Linked DNA regions of Schizosaccharomyces pombe. The protein of the gene in region 2 interacts with the protein of the main gene of each other region in a biochemical or structural test. Each region holds a gene or a part of one and is shown on either strand. Other genes may lie near its edges.

The links.
Region 1: the proteins of chp1 (region 2) and hht3 interact in a test that uses a peptide from one of them, tested with the Schizosaccharomyces pombe proteins (3 studies listed by BioGRID, with this or other methods).
Region 3: the proteins of chp1 (region 2) and tas3 are reported together in a solved structure, tested with the Schizosaccharomyces pombe proteins (one study listed by BioGRID).

The regions. Positions count from the first base shown.
Region 1 is NC_003423.3:3,525,856-3,533,870, forward strand, and holds hht3 (histone H3 h3.3), read right to left. Parts: upstream 3,711-8,015; 5' UTR 3,675-3,710; coding exon 3,264-3,674; 3' UTR 2,945-3,263; downstream 1-2,944. Other genes in the region: RAVE complex subunit Rav1, read left to right, coding at 1-2,826; hhf3 (histone H4 h4.3), read left to right, coding at 3,912-4,223; SPOM_SPBC1105.13C (uncharacterized protein), read right to left, coding at 5,905-6,333; DNA-binding transcription factor Rsv2, read left to right, coding at 7,076-8,015. UniProt on the Schizosaccharomyces pombe protein: Core component of nucleosome. Nucleosomes wrap and compact DNA into chromatin, limiting DNA accessibility to the cellular machineries which require DNA as a template.
Region 2 is NC_003424.3:2,209,512-2,217,860, forward strand, and holds chp1 (heterochromatin (HP1) family chromodomain protein Chp1), read right to left. Parts: upstream 4,835-8,349; 5' UTR 4,349-4,834; coding exon 1,466-4,348; 3' UTR 1,299-1,465; downstream 1-1,298. Other genes in the region: aim18 (chalcone related protein), read right to left, coding at 385-1,164; Rab11 family GTPase Ypt3, read left to right, coding at 6,304-6,730, 6,975-7,055, 7,110-7,246; serine hydroxymethyltransferase Shm2, read right to left, coding at 7,676-8,349. UniProt on the Schizosaccharomyces pombe protein: Component of the kinetochore which plays a role in stabilizing microtubules and so allowing accurate chromosome segregation. Has a role in the RNA interference (RNAi) pathway which is important for heterochromatin formation and accurate chromosome segregation.
Region 3 is NC_003423.3:1,514,580-1,520,611, forward strand, and holds the start of tas3 (RITS complex subunit 3), read right to left. Parts: upstream 1,601-6,032; 5' UTR 1,550-1,600; coding exon 1-1,549. Other genes in the region: anaphase-promoting complex platform subcomplex scaffold subunit Apc15, read left to right, coding at 2,148-2,255, 2,323-2,625; RNA-binding protein Yme2, read left to right, coding at 3,089-5,410; rtc6 (mitochondrial 54S ribosomal protein bL36m), read right to left, coding at 5,633-5,911. UniProt on the Schizosaccharomyces pombe protein: Has a role in the RNA interference (RNAi) pathway which is important for heterochromatin formation and accurate chromosome segregation.

The DNA.
Region 1 (8,015 bases), on a different chromosome or scaffold from region 2:
ATCATTTTATTTTTTCAAAATTCCGCCCGTGAATACATGTTTAGTCTTACCGATTTCTTTTATAGTGACTTTGAGTTAAGAGTTAGTTACGATTTTTATGGACATGATTATCCCATAAAAAGCTTAACAAGAACCTCTAATGGTCATGGAATTGTATCCCGAGATGTTAATCGTATCTGTATGTTTCAATCATACATATCGCAAGACGGGAAAAATCAGTTAATTTGCAGGTTCAGATTATTACTTGGAGAATCTGACTTTATATTACCTCTTTATGCTGGTGAATATGCAGCAGTACTCAACTTAAATTCTTTAAAATTATGGCATTGCAATGAAGCAATTCCTCCAACCCTTCTCTGTACATGTCGTCAAGTCCCTACTAGTCCGATAATAACCTTCTTTATTCTTCCTGTTCAAAACAACGATAATTCCGCCCTATGTGCTTTGACGGAAGGAGGCCATGCCTGGTTTTGGAGTGTCTCTAACGAAGCTCATGATGGTTCTGCTGTACTTCGGTTTATAGATCGGGTAAATTTTACAAAGAATTTAAATATCGCATCGGCTGTAGATGTCATGGGTTGGTCTTCTACTTTAAATTTGAGCAGTTTATCTTCATTTGATCAAGAGGTATTTCAATCAATATCAAAAGACGGTTTATTACAGACTTGGATGGCAAGAGTATTGGGAGACGATAAAGCGGAAATATCGGAAATTTCCAAAGTGCAAACTAGCATCAAATCTGCAACTATGATCAAAGGCTCAACATCCAAGAAAGTTGCTGTTGTATCTGAGAACAATCGTCGACTTTCAATTTTCGACACGCGTAGTTCAGAATTCTCTGAAAAGGAAGAATTTTCCTCTGTTTTTGATGATTATGGACCAATAAATGACTTGGATTGGACTTCTACTCCCAATTCCCATTCTATCTTGGCTGTTGGCTTTCTACATGATGTTATTCTTTTGTGCCAAAATCGCCGATCTTATATGAACGATATTCCATGTTGGTCTCGTATTCGTAGATACAATCTTTTAGAATATACAAATTCATTAATATCTGACTCTTCTTGGTTGGATAATGGGACTTTAGTTACTGCCATTGGTAACGGACTTTTTTATTTTGATAATTCACTTCCCGAAGATCAGTCTTTACTGTTCCCTGCATCATTGAAACGTTCCGCAAAAAATATTTTTGATCTTGCATACCAGCTTAATGGAATTTTACCAGTTTTTCATCCTCAATTGTTGCAGCAGCTTTTACTTAGAAACCAACCCTTTCTATTTACTAATATTTTGCTAAGGTTTTACTTGTGTTTGAAAGATGATGTAGATATGCATTTTCTCTTAAATATGGACTGCAGTGAGTTTTACTGCTGTGACGAAGAAATTTCTAAAGACCTTTTAATAAAAAGTCTCAGCCAAAATTCTGCGGAAATTCTAAATCCTGCGGAATTGGATTTTGAAGAGACCAGTGTCTCAAAGCATTTAGGATTATACATTGATGAAATGATAAAGAAGTTGACTGCATTATTAAAAGTAAAGAAAGTCAAAACCCTCACTCGATCATCTCAGTTTTTACTTCTTAATTTAATCGAGGCATTCAATAAGGCAAGAGCATTGCGAGATTCATTGGACCTCAACGGAAAAAGATATTGCATTATGCTAAACCAGTACGTTTTATCAAAACATCAACGTCAATTAACAAGCTTGCCCACCCGAGAGATGGCGTGGGCTTTTCATAGCTCTAACAAAGCTGTTCTGTTGGACCACACTAAAAAGCTTCATGGAAAACCATTGTTATGGAATGCTGTTGAAGAATATGCGATACCGTTTTGGCTAAATGAGCAGCTACTGAAAGATGTATTTTTAGAGCTGTCTCGCAATCATTACGCTGAGATTGACGATAGGAACCCAGAGAATGTTAGTTTATATCACATTGCTCTACACAAAATAAATGTATTTCGTGATCTTTGGCGTCTTGCTAGTTGGCATAAGGAATCAGCTCGAACGGTTAAGTTGCTTTCGAATGACTTTTCAAAAAAGAAGTGGAAAGTGGTTGCATCCAAGAATGCTTTTGCACTTTTAAGCAAGCACAGATATTTTTATGCTTCTGCATTTTTTCTTTTGGCAGATAGTTGCTATGATGCCGCAAAAGTATGTATCCGTAATTTAAAAAGCATTTCATTAGCCATCGCAATGACTCGAGTCTATGAAGGCGACGATGGTCCGACCTTAAAGAGGCTAATAAACGAGTATGTACTTCCTTTGGCTGTATCTCAAAACGATAGATGGCTCACCAATTGGAGTTTCACTATTTTAAAACAGGAAAAAAAGGCCTTGCAAAGTTTGGTATCTCCCATTCGCTCGCTGGTCAGCGATAATGACTTTATACAACTTTATACATCCGATAAAAACGACCAAGAAATTCACGAAAATAAAGATTCACAACGAAATAGTACTAACGAACCCGTACGAAATAAGTTTCCGTCTGATGATCCTGCCTTCATTTTGTTATATGAATGTTTAAGATCCAGCAACGTGCAAATTGATGAAAGTCTTGAATATCGATTTGTTTTGCATAATGCTAATGTGTATTGCCAATTAGGATGTGACCTAATAGCACTTGGGCTTTTGCGTAATTGGAAATTCCAAAAAAATCCTGCAACTGCTCATCTTGAAACTGAGGATTATATGGTAACTGACAAGCAGTCTGCAGTGGAAAAAACTCACGACTCCCCCAAACTTGGAAAAACTCTTATGGGACAAGATATCCGGCCAACACCGGACGATGTCCCCGAATTTAATGAATCTGCGTTCAGCTTCGAGTAATTAATTAATTATCGATACGAGTTTTTAAAAATACTACAAAAAATCAAATACGGTCAACCCTTAGTTTATCGTGTTTCAATAATGATATTAAAAATTAATTTACTATTAAATAGCATATAAGAATACAGATGAAGTTCCTCAGCGTTTCATTTACACAATTGCGCAGGACGTAAAGAGAGAATTAAAAATTTCTATACATTTCGAAAATAAAAACGTCCGCGGTATAACTCGAAAAAAGAAAACAAAAATATAAATAGATAGTGCAGCTCACGGAAACAAAAAATTAGACTTGCATATCGTTTGTTACATTCCACAACACTCAAGGTTAAATTTTGTTTCGAAAGGCAAAGTAAATGAGGGAAGGATTACAATGGGATAGACGACCAAAAGATTCCAAATCACACCATCAGATGGCAACCACAATTTGGTAAAGTTGCTTATGAGCGTTCACCGCGAAGACGACGAGCCAATTGCATATCCTTGGGTTGAATAGTTACACGCTTTCCGTGAATAGCACACAAGTTAGTGTCTTCAAATAGAGAGACAAGATAGGCCTCAACAGCTTCTTGGAGAGCACCAATGGCAGAAGACTGGAAACGCAAGTCAGTCTTGAAATCTTGGGCGATTTCACGGACCAAGCGTTGGAAAGGTAGCTTACGAATCAAAAGTTCAGTAGACTTTTGATAACGACGAATTTCACGAAGAGCGACTGTACCGGGACGATAACGATGAGGCTTCTTAACACCACCAGTAGCGGGAGCAGCCTTACGGGCAGCCTTAGAGGCAAGTTGCTTACGAGGAGCCTTACCACCAGTTGATTTACGTGCAGTTTGCTTAGTACGAGCCATTATTTTCTAGTGTTCTGATAATTGCCCTGTGTAGATAAAAACAAATTATAGGGAGATTACGCTGTATAAATATGTCCCTACATCCAACTTTGATCACAACCCTAACCCTTTAATTAAATTGACGTAAGTTAATAGGGACGGCGCATTAATATATATTGTGAAATGCCGCATACCCTACTAGCAATAGAAGCACTGTTTATAGTAGTAACTCTATTTCGTTAATATTAATAGTGCAATATGTCTGGCCGTGGTAAAGGTGGAAAAGGTTTAGGAAAGGGTGGTGCCAAGCGTCACCGTAAGATCCTTCGTGACAATATTCAAGGTATTACTAAGCCTGCCATTCGTCGTCTTGCTCGTCGTGGTGGTGTTAAGCGTATTTCCGCTTTAGTTTACGAAGAGACTCGTGCTGTCCTCAAGCTCTTCTTGGAAAATGTTATTCGTGATGCTGTCACCTATACTGAGCATGCCAAGCGTAAGACTGTTACATCTTTGGATGTTGTCTACTCTTTGAAGCGTCAAGGCCGTACCATTTATGGTTTCGGTGGTTAAATTCGATATCAATTGCCGACTCCGAATTTTTTGTTTCGAGTCTATCAATTTTATGTGTACACTATAACTATTCTATATATACATGCCAAACGAGAATGTTTTTCATCTGGGCGATATCAGAAGAAGCATTATCAATTTGCTAGTGCAATTCATAGACAAAAAGGCGTTTGGTCTTTGTGAGAAATTTTTCATATCGCGTTGTATCACGGCTGAATACTCCATCTGACAAGAAGATGAATTTTTCTTCGTGGATTTGTGATTAATACATTTATTGAATGAAATGATTAATATAATGTTCATTAAACCCGAATCGTATCGTGATATTTATAAGTAGTACAAATATAGTAAACGCGCAAGTTTTTCTTTAGGTAATTGTTTGTGCGACCTTAAGCAAATTAACCTAGTTGATGCGTTACACTGTTCTTCGTGTCATCTTTCTGGGTATGGGGAAAGTGTGTCTAGTGAATGGGGTTAAAGAAGGTTATCTAAGCGACTAGTTGATAGCAAACAGTTGCATAGCCAGGAAGATTGTGAATTGTACGGTACATCGTAGTTGTGAGGTAATACGCAACTTTCTAATTGAGAGATATCAAATTGAATCAGCTCGATCGCATACTTAGATACTTATTAAGTGTTGTAATTTCGTCAAATAAAACTTTTAACAATGTAAAAAAGTACGTACTTTCTTCCGCTCCTTGCTTAATACCACAATAAATGAATTTACCTAATCTGTATCTAACAACCACATAGTCAACGGGACTAACAAATTCCAGTAAAGTGTTAAGGATAAAAAGCTTTCAGCAATGAGAGCGTACGACTCTTTCTCTAATCTGACATGTTTTCTTTTGTGTTTATAAAGCATTCGTTTTGTATTGACAAATTTTTCAATTACCTTGGGTAGGTGAATTATTTTTGGGCATATGACATCAGAACGCGTTGAACAATTAAGTTCACTTTGACAAAAATACAGATTTTTTATCACTACACGTCGTTTACTTTATATTTTACTTCATCTTATTACAAGGTTACTCTGTAATTGTAACGTTTGACGAAGCCCATAATCCAATCCTCTTTTTCGTTGCAGAGGAAAATAAGGAAGAGTAAGTACGTAAAGCCTACGAAAAGAAAGAGAAATATAAAAAAGTATACGTTTGTCAGTGCAATATTGAATGGTAAGTTTATTAATTGTTCCACTCATCGACTAAATAATAAAGTAGAAAGACGAGACATTTATGTGTATGCTAGAACACACTGGAATCCATTTGTTCACGAGTTGTTCTCGTAATAACATAATGATTGGTATTGCCGTGTGTGAATGCCAGTGATTATTGATGTTTGAAAGACTACAACTGATAAAAAGATAGTTGCACTAGTGATAAAAGTCTGTTGAAATTGGTATGCTCTAAAAGTCATTTGTACTTGAGTAAGCAGTCATATGCGTGTTGGCTATCCATCTGTTTGACTTGTTTGAAAATAATACACATGGGTTATGCTTTTCACAAGAAAGTAGAATAATTGATTCCTACATCTGCATCATCCATATCGATCGGTAAAGTATACTTTATCCTACGAATTGGTTTCATAGTTAAATCACTCCTCTGCTTAGCAGCTCCGCATCCCCTTCGTGTACTAGCCAATCTCATCGACATCGACAAATTGACTTCACCTGAGTTAAGCATACTTAATTCAACTTAACGAAGTGCAACCCACCACGACTGACCTCTGTAATCTCGGAAAACGGATAAGACGGTTCAGTACGTTCGCTAGTAAGAAGCATGCATGCAAAGGTACAAGAGCAGGCTTCCCATGCAAACTGAGAAAATAATCCCTGAAGAATTGCTAGTAAGCCAAATTGCAGCGCCTCCAAACATCCTTCTATTAAGGACCAGAAAGAATGATGCTGATGACTAATTTTTGGGTTATGCAAGAAGCATCTGGCATTTTCTTTAACTTCTCCACGAATAAGGAGAAGGTCACACGACGGAAGCGTGGAATAATGATGAGTTTGATCGTCGGTAAACTCCCCCAGAGTAGCGAAGATCATCGGCATCGAAAGAAAGAAGGGAAGGAAAAAAAAAAGTAAAAACGACTTGATGAATTCCGTGATCATGTAGGGTAACGGAAGACGAGATTACCGAGTTTAAGTAAGCAATCGAGGTCTGCATTGCGATGCCGATATGGTGATCGGGAACATGAAGCACTTGATTGACTTGAACATGTAGGGAGGAAATTTTTTTAGCGTTTTTAGACTTTTCATTTAGCTGCTATCTTAGGAGTAGCGTGACACGGCGCAAACGAAAAACAAGACATTTGTTGTACCAAACATCCTCAATTCCATCGCATCTCTAAAGTACGAGTAACTAGAGTAAGATGCAAATCAACGTCGTGATATGACCTAAAAGTATCGTGGACTTGATTCATCCTTCAATCTCATCTTTCCCCGACTCCGCCTCTTCATTTTGACCTCATTCTATGATTGCTTTTGGAATGAAGCTTGCAGCGTATTCCTTCATTAGTGCGTTATGACTAACCGCGATATATAAGGTGATTTAAGTACTGGAAGCTCGCTTTCCATATGAGAGGACAGCGTAGAGCGCAAGTCGCAGATTGAAGGAATGTAATTGGGGTTCGCTTACACATTACGCGCTTTTATTTGAAAAGAACGAATCAGCAGCACTGCCAGCGCATTCTGACATTTCCATGCTACTTCATTGGCGGCCTCTGATTGGCTCAATCAATGTAAAACGACGTCAATTGCTAACCAATGTTGTTTGACAAGGGTGGTTTTTTCAATCAGACGCTTGACGTCATTCTTTATATATACATTGCCTCGCGCATCTTTGCTGGGTAGTATGGACACTACAAACAACACATATGCAAGATCAATTTCTAGTAATGGGAACGATAACTTTCCCACTCCAGATTGGCAATTTAATGGATCCCAATTGCAACAAAATCGTAAATCCAAAATGAATGGTCGCTCTGTGACTAATGTATTTCCGAATGCATTCTCGGATGCTGAATTCGAGCAAATCTCGATGCCCGAACTCAATTTAAAGCGTTTTAACCCTACTACGTTAGAAGAAAATAACTCAGATTTATCTGATATGTCCTCCTGGGACTATATGATGAACGTTCCCATTCGTGTCTACAACGATGCTGACACAATGGACCCCTTCTCCCTCGACACTATTCCCGATTCCTCGATGGACATGCCATTTGATCCCTTAGCATCTGACTATGGTAACGCTGCTAACTTTCCAAGTGTCCCTTCGTCCCTTGGCAGCAATCATCAATTTATCACCACACCTCCTGTCAACGGGTCGAACGAACCTACCTCGGCTCAAACGAATCACATTATTACTGCTAACAGTTCCCCCAGTGGAAATGCTGGGAGTAACGCATCTGCAAGCATGTCCGTCCCTCCTCCTCTTACTCCATCTGCTTCCACCATTAATGACCAGCCCTTCTCCAACTCTTTCGATTTACCTAGTCAGGTGATTGCTGATGGCACTGGCGCGATTTCCGACATCAACGGTAATCCATTTCCCATGAATTCTCCACCTTTGGATATGGAACCGTTGCCCTCGATATCCATGGATGCAAGTGACTCTGTCTCCGAACAACTTGTAAAGGACGCCTCTCTTCCTAGTGGTCCTTTTTCAACCGATTATTTGGAGAATGGAAGTGACTTAAAAAGGTCACTGGGTCACAATCAAAAGTCAGACAGAGTCTCAAAAGATGTCTCACCTCAACACCAAGCAAATCCCTCTACCCTTAACAATCCTCTCA
Region 2 (8,349 bases):
AGCTATATTCGTCACAGGAATTGTTCAACGGTAATTCAAAATGGCCTAGTTTAAATAGTTCATTTTCTTTTCATTAAAATAAAACATCTAAGCGTAATATAAGGAAATTTCCTTAGAAAGACTAAAGAAGTTTAGTCAACCAAATTAACATCATTCATTCCTCAGTCAGTGGATGAAAAGAATTAGTGCCCACCAAAAATTGTGCAAAAAGAGCAAATGAAATACTTTATCAAAGAGTATTCATTTAATTTGTCATCAAATCCTGATCGTATGGCTTCGCACAACCATGACAACGAACTAAGAAAAAATGGAACCACTTTTATACGTGGCTTACACAAACGGGTATCTAACGTTGGGCGCTGTATTCGTGTATGGTATTTTTTATCAAAATAAAAGTGTTCCATCCATGATACGTCGCAATGTCAAGCATACAGATTCCCGAGCTTGCTCACTGTTTACTCTGGGCCCAACTAGATAACCCTTTAGGAAGAGATTAGAGACCATATAGTTCTCATCATGCATATGGCCAATTTCCGAATCCTTATATATATAACAAAAATCGTTTCCATACAATTTCATCCATAGTGCGGTTTCCTTGAAGCAAGTTCGATTTACTGGAAATGTGCTACGAAATTTGCTTACTGCTGCTTGCTCCGCAGGATCGTTTTGAGACATTCTCGATTGAAGGCCACGTACAAACCCTCCTCTCAAGTGGCTAAAATTGGTATTTCTAGTGGGAACGATTTTAATGGCATACTTCATTTCGTTTTTCAATAGCGCTGCCACGATCCGACTTCCAATTTCTTCGTCTTTCATACTCATTTCTAGCCCTAATTTCGGATCTACCTCCTTTTGCAATATAGTGTGAACGGTTTGAACATCTTTCTTCTGAATATACAATTCGATATCATACACATGAATACTTAGAAAAGAAACATATCGCGGTCCTGAACCTAACAAAAATAGTTCATCCTCATTATTAATTCTTTTTTGAACTAATCCTTCGTATGTTTGTTGAATTGTCTTGGTGACACTCTCACAGTATAGAGGGCGAGTTTGATACATGGCATTTATTGTTGCTACTGAGCTCCAAAAGACCAATCCTGGTCGTTTCGATAACCAATTCTTGCAAAATTGATAAGCAAAAAAACGAGTACCAAACATGTTGTTTAGTTTAAATACACACACACAGATATTAGCCGGTTGGTATTGGATCACATGTTTTTCCAAGAGATCCTAGATTTTAAGGAGGTGCGCAAAAACAACTAACAATGTTGAAACATACGGTTATTATATAGTGAAAAAATTAATTAATTAATTAATCGTCTAATTTCTAAAGAGTAGACTGTTATTTTCTAGTATAAGTCTTTGAGTTTAATTTTAAGTATTCCTATCCATTCGTAATAAGAAAAAATGTCAGTCTATATATCCCATTGTCCGCCGTATCCCAAAATAAATAAAACGACTATTTTAAACCAATAGCTCTCATAAAAGTCTCTTTGAACTCATCATAGTCAACAATGTCAAGGCCATTAACTGGCGTCAATTCATTTTTAAGCTCGTGAATCAATACGAACCTTCTATATTTATCATAATTTTTTTTCTGGTACAATTGTAGAGTGCTGGCTAAAGATACATCAGCGCTATCATCGATCACAATATCCCAATCCTGATACAAAGTCACGTTCTTCAGCGCTGGGTTGGTCAGGTAGCGCTGGAGTGTATTCAATAAGTTTTGAATTTCCAAGAGACTTTTGTCTGGATTGTTTGTTACAAAATAGCTCTTGACCATATCCACAATTGATGGGGGTAGAATTAAAATCCATGAATCTTTTTTAATCTCAAGAAATGGACTAATGAGTTCCAAAAGCCGTGGTGTTTTTATAAGTGCTGAGAGTGTAACAGATACCACCCCACCCTTAGGAAACATCGGTCTTAAGTACTGTGAATATGTCAACTTATCAAGGGGTTCATTGTTTTTCTTAAAGTCCGTACCCACGTGTGAATCATTAGGACTTTTGAGAGGGAGTGACAAACCAAATAAGAAAAATTTACAACTTTTCCTTTTCGCCAGTGTTAAAAATTGCAGTTGATCAAAATCATCCTCTAGTGAGACATTCAGGAAAACAAAAACATTCTGTGATAAAAACAAAGATTCCGGAATCTCGAGTCCTCGAAATGTCGGAATAGCAGCTTCTCTAAAAGTATCCTCCAATTCTTCTGCCTCCGGAGAAGGCTGTTTAGAGACAATTAAAATTTGTGTAGCTTGAAAAGCGCCTATTTTATGTAAATCGATGTGGCCTAATTGTAGTAAATAAGACAAGTAAGATTGGGATTTATGATATGGCTTTTTAGGCCTTAGATTTTTTGCCGACCATTCGACTAGGATTGATTCTAAAGGTTCAAAAATCACCATCCAAAAAGGGCTATTGCTTTGGCCTTGACAATCGTATAAATTCATTAAAGCATTATTATCCTCTGTAAATAATAATAATGTATAGTTACTACCCAGAACGATGCCAGCACCGTTGCCGCGGTTTAGTATATTTTTAAAGTGAGTCATATCAACATCGCTTCGAATACAAAGACTTCCGGAAAGAACTTTAGTCAAGCAAGTACCAAATACCTCGAGATATTGTGAAGTAACAAAACGTAAAACATCTACTTGCTTGCAACTGACTAAACTTCGTAACAACTGTTGATGTTCAGTTTCCGCCTTAAGCTTGGATATATCAAATGACAATTCTCCAGCATAGTAGAGAGATTTTCCGACTCGCAAAACGAATCTAAAATAATCAGACAATGTGCTTGCTGAAGAAAGATCTTCGGATTCGCTTATCGAATGGTGAAGAGAGTTATCCGAATTTAAAGTAATATTACCAGCCGGAACTACTTTGCTAGCTCCATCATTTTCAAAAGTTTGATCGCTTTTAGAAACACTGTTCCAGTCGTTATTAACAGTAGTCCAACTACTTCCGATAACACTTTTCTTAAGCTGCTTAGCATCTTCATTCGTCACGTTTACGTTGAAATCGAAATTTTCGTCCAGATCGACATTGCTAGCAAATTTTTCCGACTCAGAAAGGGTATCTGTTGTTGTTTGTGTAAAAGAAACGGACCTTGCATTTGCTTTCTTTGAAGGGGTTGTTTTTAAAATAGACTTTGAGACTTTACATTCTTCCATATCAGTTGATATCTTCCCTTTTACTAAAGTTACATGCCAACTTGGATGCCCTTTATCATACGCAAGTTTGGCTTGTTCGATAGAATCGAATTGAATGTAGGCCATATTACAAACTTTGTCTTTCTTTGGTGATTTGAGAAAAAAGACCTCAATATTTCCTTTGATAAAAGCAAAGTACGATAAAATATCTTGCTTCGTTAAAGAACCAGAATTATCACTAACTAATATCGTATGCGTTTCTAATTTCGGTGCTTCCTTTTTTATCTTCAAAGAGGAAGGAAGAGGAGTCGAATTGCTAAAAAATAATGAATTGGCAACATCATTATCGGAAGTTATTACTGGCGACAGACTTAAAGGGCTTGAATGCCTAAAGGTTGACAAGGGGGTGTTAGATTGTGGTGAATTCGCATTTTCAACAAAAGCGCCAGTATTTTCAAGATTGTTCGAATTTTGAATTCCGGGAACTGAGTTGTCAGAGTCACTGGGCATCAACATTGTGCTTTTAATTTCGCCATTTTTCAAAGGTATTGCATCGCTGGAGAGGCTTTTGGACAATAAAATACTGTCGGTAACTGTAGGCCACTCTGATAAGTAGAAAGGATTAACATCAGGGCTAGTTTCACCAAACGATGTGGATAGCGTGCTAGTTTTATCGGTCAAATTCCTCTCCTTCAATTCCCCTTGCATACTTTTTCTCTCAAACGCATCCTCATCCATTGTCTGATCGTCCTCTTCCTCTTCATCATTTGCGATGGTTACAATCCTTCGGGCAGGCTTCTTACGCATCTTTTTGAATTTTTCTTTGACTTTTTGAGATAATTGGGTAAGCTCGGATTTGCGCTTTTGTCTTTGTTGCCTCAATATCTCCTTTTCTCTCTTCATTTTCTTTGCCTCATTATCTTCCGCATCGAAAGGTTCAAGCAAGCCTTTAGCAATTAACTTTTTCCGTTTTTTCCATTTTTTAAGCACTTTTTCCGCACCGAATAAATTTTGTTCAGGTTCCCAAGTATTATCATACCAATCATAGCCAGCCCATTTTATATAATATTCGTTTATGCCATTTTTATTTACGCGGTCAGCAAGGATATCTTCCACCTCATAAACATCCGCGTCTGTCTCACCTTCATTCGAGTCAATATCAGGAAGTGGTTTAACAGATACCATTTCAAGGTAGCGGGTTTTTTGCTCACCTACGTGTCGCTAAGAGAGATTGAAGTATTACAACAAAAAAATATATAAAAGGATAAAGATATGAATTTAAAAAAAAAACGGAATTAAGCAAGATTGAATAGATTCCTTGACAAAACTATTAGCCAAAGTTCTTCCCTTTCAACTACTTTTATAGTTGCATGAAGGGCAGAGTATAACCTCTAAAATGGCTCAAATATTTCCCTTTTGCTTGTGATTTTTTTACCAATGGAACACAAGAATAACAACAGATAATTCCAGTAATGAAGCTTTTAGATGTTAGAATTTCGAAGTCTCGCTGCAATAAGCAAGATGGCTTATGCACTCGAATTTTGGAATCAAACAAAATCCGCGTGATTTTACCGTCGTGTCACCAACGCAAACCGTTAAATATACAAAAAAATAAGTTTTCGATTGGGTTTGGAGTTTTATTGCATTAATCAAGTGTGTGAGGTTGAGGTTGCAGATTTGAAGACACCTATGGAGACATATGTACTTTGAGAAAATACTCACTAACCACTAGTGTTACTAGTTGCATACATGAGGTACTAGTAGTCAAAAAACTTTGTTGGTAAATTGATAAATGTTTAAAATTTTCTCATTCCTCCTGAACTTCTAATTTTATTTTCTGGGTGGTTGTGTAAGTTAGAAAAACTTTAAACAAATAATGAATTTTGTTTTCAAAAAGCTACAATGAGTAGATTTTGAGCGCTGCAATTTATTAAACGATGCGTTTATACATAATACCTCTAAATGTGTTAACTCTATATAAACGAATTCAACACAACATATCATTCCAAAACTGGTAGTACAATAAGAAAAGTAAATAATTACTACGATAGAAAAAAATGATCGTGCCAAGACTCGAACTTGGGACCGTCTGCGAACTAGCATGTTAAGCAGAAATTATAACCATCTAAACCACACGACCTCTTTTGATAATTGCTTGCATTAATTTTATATAGAGGTTAACCAAGGGATCCATTTACTTATATTATTACGGAACTATGTTATTCGTTTTCCATGAAATGAACTTAATAAGAAAAACTGTTTATGTGCAGGATTTTTTTGTTTCTTGTTAACCCAAGATTTGCCAACGATAATTATTCGATGGATTACTCAAGTAACTTTCTGCATGAAGGATGCCTGCATGCCATGAGCAGCATCCAACATTGTATAACTTTTGCATAAAGAAAAAGATTTCAATTGAGCCGCCAATTTTATTCTTTCAAATTTTTAATTTCGATCATTGTGACCATTATAAAAGTGAGAAAAAGCTGCTGAAAAAACCGGAACTTAAAATATTCTTTCTTTGGCTAGATAACTTTGTAACTTGGAAATCAAAACATTGCTTTCAAAGAATTTCTACATCATTGTTTGATGCAGGACTAAAATGGGTATAGTACTGACTAATCGCACTGTAAAAACCCATACCAACCCGTCCATATCCAGTTTTGCGATTGGGTTCAATCGGTCATTCATATAATTGATAGTACTTGCATTCAATTGAGTACTTGCGCTTCTTTATATCAAAGGCATTTTAAAATGTTTACAAAATAGCGCTTTATAGTGAACAACAGCATAATGATTTTGATGATAGCAATCACTAAACGACACCAGCCTTCTCATGATTACGACATTCTTTGTAACGCAGTATAATTATTTAATGAATCATTGGAATGCGTTATATGCATTTTAACGGCCAGTGGCACTAGTGGACTTTTTTTTGTTACCATGATAAAGGATTATTACTTCCTTAGGTTTTCTGATATCCCTCTGCAACTTACCTACAACAAACTACGACTAAGTAAATTCTTCGACTATCGAAAGCAGGGTTCATTGTAATTTACAGGTATATACCTTGATATTATTTGACCTTAAATATTTGTTAACAAAAATTGTTCGTAGATTTACCGATAGAGAACTTAGCCATGTGTCAAGAGGACGAATACGATTATTTGTTCAAGACTGTGCTGATTGGGGATAGTGGTGTTGGAAAGTCAAACCTACTTATGCGTTTCACTAGGAATGAATTTAATATCGAAAGCAAGAGTACTATTGGTGTTGAATTTGCTACTAGAAATATTGTTCTTGACAACAAAAAAATTAAAGCACAGATCTGGGATACTGCCGGTCAGGAACGTTATCGGGCCATTACCTCAGCTTATTACCGTGGTGCTGTTGGTGCTCTGATTGTTTACGATATCACAAAACAATCTTCATTCGATAATGTGGGCCGCTGGTTAAAGGAGCTTCGTGAGCATGCAGACAGCAACATCGTTATCATGCTTGTTGGTAATAAAACGGATTTACTACATTTAAGAGCTGTATCTACTGAAGAAGCCCAGGCATTTGCTGGTAAGTAATTTTGTTGGTGAGATATGGAGTTGTTCGGACGGGAAGTAGTGAAACCGGCTTTAGCCGCTCTCACTTTATTCCGTTCATCGTTTTTAGCAATTTTGAACTGCTTGAAGCGTAGAAGATCTCTTTTTGTTTTGAAATATTATTCACCTTGTCGATTCCATTCTCTGTTTATTAAGCACATTTGTTTGCCTCTGATTCGTCATAATTTTTTGAACATAATTAACTAATGTTTTTACAGCTGAAAATAACTTATCTTTTATTGAAACCTCCGCCATGGATGCTAGCAATGTTGAAGAAGCTTTCCAAACAGTTTTGACTGGTATGTTTATTCGTACTTGCTTTGATTTCTTCAAGTTTTACTAATCTAGCGTAGAAATTTTCCGAATTGTCTCCAACAGATCACTCGAGGCTGGAGACGACGGTGTTCATCCTACAGCTGGTCAAACGCTTAATATCGCCCCTACCATGAATGATCTTAATAAGAAGAAGTCTTCTTCCCAATGTTGTTAGATGGTTATCACGGATTCGTACCATTATTTTACCTCGTTTCTCTTCATTTAAAAACTCCACCCCTTTATAACATTTAAGGTGCCTTATGATTATGAAATCTTTAGCAGGTTAGTCAACCATTTATTAGGGCTGTATCCTTTAATAAAGGGGTAGATATTTTGCCTAATGCTAATATTGTCTACTATGGATTTACCGTCCTTCTTTATACACGCTTCAGCATAATTTTATCCCCATTCCTATGCAGCATATAAGTGTAACACATTATTACCTCTGTTTATTATATGATATTTGTAGGGTTACTTTAATAGAGAATTTGTCCAGATATTTTCATTATTCATACAGCTCATGTTTAATTTCCATGATATATCCTTTATAAGAGAAAGTAACAGATGATAAGTATGAGATAAGAGCCAAAAAGTTAGAGACAGCTTAAACGGGGAAATCAAATTTTCCAGCCCAAGTTATAACTTCTTTCTTCAGTTTGGCGATTTCAGAGAATTTAGAACCATCACCCACATATGCTTTGAAGTCTCTAAACTTCGATTTTCCTTCCTTCAAAGCAGCTTCATTTATTTTCTTGGTCAAAGATACAACTTCATCAATTAGCTCTACCACTCTCTCAAAATCCTTCTCATCAAAACCGCGAGTAGTGCAAGCTGGAGTTCCCAGACGTAATCCACGTGGAATTAAAGCAGACTTATCTCCGGGCACAGTATTCTTGTTGGCAGAAATATTTACAAGCTCTAAAATACGTTCGACACGGGCACCATCTACACCTTTGTCGGTCAAATCAACAAGAACCAAGTGAGTATCCGTGCCACCTGAAACTAACTTATAGCCACGAGTAATAAATGCATTGGCCATTGCCTTGGCGTTACTTAGAACGTCCTTTTGGTATTGATAGAATTCAGGAGTTTTTGCTTGTCCAAGGGCGACAGCTAACGCAGTAATTGTATGATTATGGGGGCCGCCTTGATGTCCAGGAAAAACTGAGAAATTGATTTTATCCTCTAATTCATATAAAATTGGATTACCACGTTTATCGTGAGAACGAGTACCTTTTCGATAAAATATCATAGCTCCTCTCGGTCCACGTAAAGACT
Region 3 (6,032 bases), on a different chromosome or scaffold from region 2:
ATCCTACCGCTTTCGCAAATGGTGTTTGTTTTTCGAGGTTGCTCAAAAACATAAGCTGCTCAGGCAAAGGTTGGTTCTCTTGAATTGGAAACTTTTCGGAAGCGGAAAATACCAACTGTAAGACTTGAGAAAAATCGATCAATTTATTATGATAATGGGGAATGACTTTTACTAAAGCTTCAGCGCAAGAACTATTGGTTTGAAAAAATGACAAAGATTTTAACCAATTAATGTAGAGATCATTTTTATCAGTAGTTAAGGAAGCTAGCGGGTTATGTGAATCAGAAGCGTTAAGCTTTTTAGTTGGTAGCTCATTTTCTCTGGATTCACGTTGACGATCAGAGGCTTTTCTTTTACGCGACGAACCTTGCATATTAAAATCATTGGCATTCCCTAAATGAAAATGGGCTCCATGGTCTGATAAATGAGTGCGATCTTCAAAATTTTGGTTGTATACATACGAAGATTTCTCCAAATGCTTACTTCGAGGCCCTGTATCTCTATTATCGTAATGTTCTCGTTTGGACCTATATGAATCTGAACGACTATCTGGATGGTAAGAATCATATCGTCGATGATGATTCGATGATCTTGAAACCTGAGTGTTTTTCGGTTTGTCGTAATCCTCTTGTTGTGAAGGCCTATTGAAATTGTCAAGATTTATACTCTCCGCCCATTCGTTTTTGTAATGTTTTGTATCATCTGTAGAGCTCCAAGAACCATTAGTTTCGCCCCAACCATCATCCAGGTTTCCCCATGAAGCTTCAGGATCATCGGGGGCAAACCAAGAGGATTTTGCTTGATACTTCGGACGAAATTGTGGATCGCTATTCGAATCAAGCTCCATAAACATCGACGTATCGGTATGATCAAGAGACTTAGAAGATTCACGAAATCCAGTAGAATTATCATCCCAGCCAACAGACTTAGAGTCAGAACTGCGAATATCATTTTCACGAAGTGAAATGCTTTCATGCAGTCTAGAAGATGACTCTATTATTGAATCAGAAGTAGAGTTGTCCCACGATTCAATCTCCATGCTTCCTGAGCTTTTATCTAAAAACTTGTTTCTGCTTTTCCGATGTTTGCTTTTTTTCGTTTCTATAGGTTTTTCAAATTCAGTAACGGAGTTCTTTCTTAGTTGTTTCGACTTCACTGGCTTCTCCTTTCCATCCGTAACGAGTGGAAACTCAACATTAGATGATGTGTATTTTTTTGAAGCTCTTACCTCCTTTGTGACTCCAGAGGAAGTATGGGTTGCCTTTGCTTTAGCAGGACTGTTCTTAAGTTGCTGTGGGAAGTCAACAGCAGCCAGCAATTTCCTCTGCGATAGCATTTCAGAGCGGCAGTAAACTGCTTCTTCAGCTAGTTCCTGCCTTTTTTCTCTCCTATTTTTTAGATTAGAAAGCCAATGTTCAGTGAATAATTCGTGAACTCGCTCTAGCGAAACAGTTGCTGATCGCCGAGATGTTCCATGATTTTCGGGAAAGTCTGAAATACAAGCTAAAAACGGTAAACTTGGAAGATATTTTTTGATTCCTTTCTCCATTAAAATCGTAGCTCAAATAGGATCAAAAGCTCTCATTAAATTATAGTGGTTAGGAGTAAGTTAAGAAGTTTGATGAGTATGTGTAACATTAGATAGTAAGGATATTAATCGAGATACATACAGGTATCTTTTTTCTGAAATTTTGTATTTGCAAATAATTGAATCCTAAAAAACCCAATTTAAAGTACACCTACGTGAAATTGAAAAGAGTAGCCAGTTTCAATTACTTAAATGCTGAAACTTGAACATGAAACGTTACGGAACATAAGTATTTCTTATCCCTTGACCTCTTCATTAAAGGAAAATAAGCATTTTGATACTCTTAGTTAATAATCTTGTTCAAGCGTTGCAATAAACATTTCAAATCAGTCAAAAATAAGAGGAGAAATAAGTTCAACAGCTTTTGTTAATTAATACGTGAACCAAAAATTAACACGAAAGTTAATTTTGTGGCTTCTCAGCATTGCTTTGTGTTTACATTTTTTGTTTATTGTACAGAACTGGGTTAGTAAATAACCCAGTCACCATAGTAACGCCTTTAGTCTTACAATACACCAGCTGATTCTTGAATACCAATATTTATTTGCAGCATAAAATCATGTCGTTTATGTCGTTGATGGCTAATACAGCCCATCAACTATGGTATCCTACGTCTTTTCCTTCTATGAAAGAATTGGAAAAGGAAGAAGTTAGACTGGAGACTCAGGTATGTTTGTTTACGATTTTCAACGAGTTTCTGTGCATGAGAAAAGTCTAACTTGAACGAATCTTAGGAGCTTGCAATTAAACAGTTTGGATTTCGCACTATTCGGCCCATTGGATTAAATAGGTCTATGCAAGAGCAGCTTGATTTGGAAGAGCAAGAGCGCGAAGAGGCTAATCAAGACACTGAGTTGGATGAAGAAGAATTGGGAAGTGGGAGCTTTCCTGAAGAAGGCGAAATGGACGATATGGATGGTGATAATGAAGAAGTAGAAGATCACGATATTGAAGAAGTCGACTTGGATGCTGATATCACAAATGCTGACGCCTCTGAATTTTACGAAGATATAAGTGAATACGGATTTCAAAATTAAGGCTTTAAAAATAATAATATCGAATCAACCATGATTGCTAAAGCTATGCTGCTGCATTACCCGATTGAAAAATGTATGTACAATCGAATTTATTCCCATAATTGTTTACGAAAAAAGAACTTGAAGATAATAACTGGATACACAACCTATGCATGCTAAAAGGCTATCAACTCTTTATGATTCAAATGACCCATTTGATTCTACTGTTTTGAATTTATTTAACGATGTCTAAATTTACAATGCTAATTTTATTTAGCATTTTTAAGCAATGTTCTTAAACCACTAGCCTTTTACATCATTGACAGATCCCATTTGGAATCCTGACTTACTGTTAACCGTATAACTTAAATAATCATTTTCTTGGCTGTTCGTTTTTGGTGTTTGAATATTCATATTGGAGTGCAACAAACCGTTGTGTATTTCTTAGACATCGTTGAAACTAATTTAAAGCCTACCCGAAACTATGAATTTGTTTCTATCTCGGTTCACGGGGTTACGAAATACTTCATTTTTGGGTCATGCACGACCGTTTATGTTTCCACGTCGCTATGCTCATTCTTTAGTGGCACATAATATTGGTCATATCAAGCTAGATCCAAATGAAGGTCTTTTCTTCGTGGATAATCTCGTCAATACTCCAACCTATTTCTACATTCAGCGATACACTGCGTTGCTCTTTCAGAACAACTTGAAAAAGCAGCTAAGTGCTGCTTTTCCAAGCTCTGATACAATGCAGTTGGAAGATATCATATTCAGATGGCAAGATGGAGGAGCATTTTTAAAAGTACGTTACAAGGAATTCCCACAAGATACAGAAGCGGTTTCAGAACACGTCCGTGAATCATTTCGAAAGCGTCCAGTTCGAACAATTTTACACCCTTTCTCTACCCCGATTCCACACATGGTACATGGTATTCCTTGGCTTCAAGATTTATATATATTTCCATCTCGTACAGTAGATGTGAATTTCGAAGGTCCGCCCCTTTCCCAGGAAAGATTGTATAGTATTTTTAGGACATATGGAAAACTAAGATCCGTGACCATTAATTCACCTACTTCTGCTACTTTGAGTTTTTCATCGCTAAGGTCCGCTACGTCAGCTTTAAACTGTATGCATGGTTTTGTTTATGGGAAAACAGAATTCCACATGCGATACAGACATATGAACCGCTTTGTCGCCTTCAAAGACTGGTTATTCTCTCATCCTCGTTTTACTATTCCTTTGGTTGCGGCGGCTATTACAGTTTTAACGGCTTCTTTATTCGATCCGATAAGAAAGTTCTTTGTCGAGACAAACATTGTACATGGTCAGAAGTTGAGAAATATCAATGTTGTTGGGTGGGTCAAAAAGAAAACTCGCGATATAGTTTTGAGTCCCTTTCACGAAAATGGTACAAATATAAAGGCACCGATTTGGACAACACGTGAAAAGGATTGTGAACAGTTGAAAGAATGGTTGGATGAAGCATTACATTCTTTTATTGTTGTTCAAGGTCCTCGTGGTAGTGGTAAGCGTGATCTGGTAGATCGAGTTGTTAAAGAACGAAAAAATGTTTTGTTTTTCGACTGTGATCGCTTATTCTCCACTACTAATACGGAAATGTTCGTAAGTACTCTTGCTAGCCAAACGGGGTATTTCCCCCTCTTTAGCTTCCTAAACAACATATCGTCACTTATCGATATGGCTGCACAAGGTCTCATAGGACAAAAAACGGGAATTGTTTCTTCTAGTGAAGGACAAGTGCGGCAAATTCTTAACACAACACAAACGGTATTGCGTTCTCTAGCATTACGAGAGCATAAAGAAGCCGATACTAGTGTGTTGGATGAATCTGAGTTTTTAGAAGTTCATGCAGATCGCTTACCTGTTGTTATTCTCGACAATTTCCAGCTTCGTAAATTATCAAACCCGATGCAGAGAGTGGTTGCTGAATGGGCTGGTAATTTGGTAAAGGAAGGAATTGCTCATGTACTAATGCTAACACCCGATGTTGGAGGCACCAAGTCATTAGAGCAATATGTCAACGGTTGGGAAAATAGAACATTGTTATTAGGAGATGCTGACCCTGTACTTGCTCAGCGATATGTCATAGAGTCTTTACCCGAAGAGATGCAAACAGAAGAATTGAGGAAAGAATTGCGGGTCCAATTACCGAAGATTGGTGGCCGACTTCGTGATCTTGATTATGTAGCTCGTAGGTTGCGGGTTAATTCTTCCAGTGTTTCTGAAGCAATTGGCGGTATTGTAAGTCAAAATGCCTCTGATATTTTGCAAACATTTTTACGGCCTGCTTCTTTAACCAGTGAGGAGAAGCCAACGTTCACTCCAGAAGAGTCATGGACCTTAATTACTTATTTATCTCAACATGAATATATACCCTATCATATGTTGATGCTTGACCCACTGTTCAAAGGACACGACGATGCCGTTCGTGCCTTGGAAGAATCAGAATTGATTACTATTACCACAGTGAATGCAAGACCGGATAAAGTCTACGCTGGAAAACCTGTATATGTTACGGCTTTCCGGCAACTTGTAAATGATCCAGTATTAAGTGCTAATATGCAGTTGGTGAGATGTAACGCGTTAATTGGCATGGCTAACAATGCTATCAAGAATGATGAACAGGAGCTACAAATGCTAAAGGACCTTGGGAACCTTGAATCAGGTGTGAAGGATCGTGCTCATTACTTAACGACGCGTATCCAGAAAAATCAAGGTGTTATTACTGATAATGAGAAAAGTATAGAAAGGCTTACTGAGGCTTTGAAAAAAATCGACTAAGATGCGAAAGCATATCATTTAAGATTACGTATGTTTTTATGAATTCTTTAGCATGAAGCTATAATGTCAACAATAATATCACATTTAATGACTACGCATTAACGAGAGAGAAGGGAGTAAGGATTTGGTAGGTAGTCCAAAAATCGTCGTAATATGAAGTGAGCGTAATGAAGAATTAGCCTAGGTAGAAAAAAAAAGAAGAAGCGAAACCGGTTATAGTCATTAACCTTGACGGGTTTTATGTCTCGGATGTTTTTTGCATAGTACATACAACCTACCTTTGCGACGCACAAAATAGCAGGATGAACAACGCTTTTTTACTGATGCTTTCACTTTGAAACCTCTTGAAAAGTTCCAAGGTAGAAGGCTAGGAGAAAGTCTGAAAGCAGGGGTTAAGAACATAGATGCATTTTTTAACAACCCTTTTTGTGCATTAAAAGCAGAAGGGAAGACTCGTGACAAAACACCCACAGCAAAAAATTTACGACCTAATGAAGCCATTATAAGTTAAAAAAAAAGTGAAACTGGGACTTCAAGTCAAGATGTTTAAATTTTTTTGGATCCGAAGTAATTCTGAGCTAAATAAATGATGTACGATGGAAAAGTGTTCACAATTTGGACT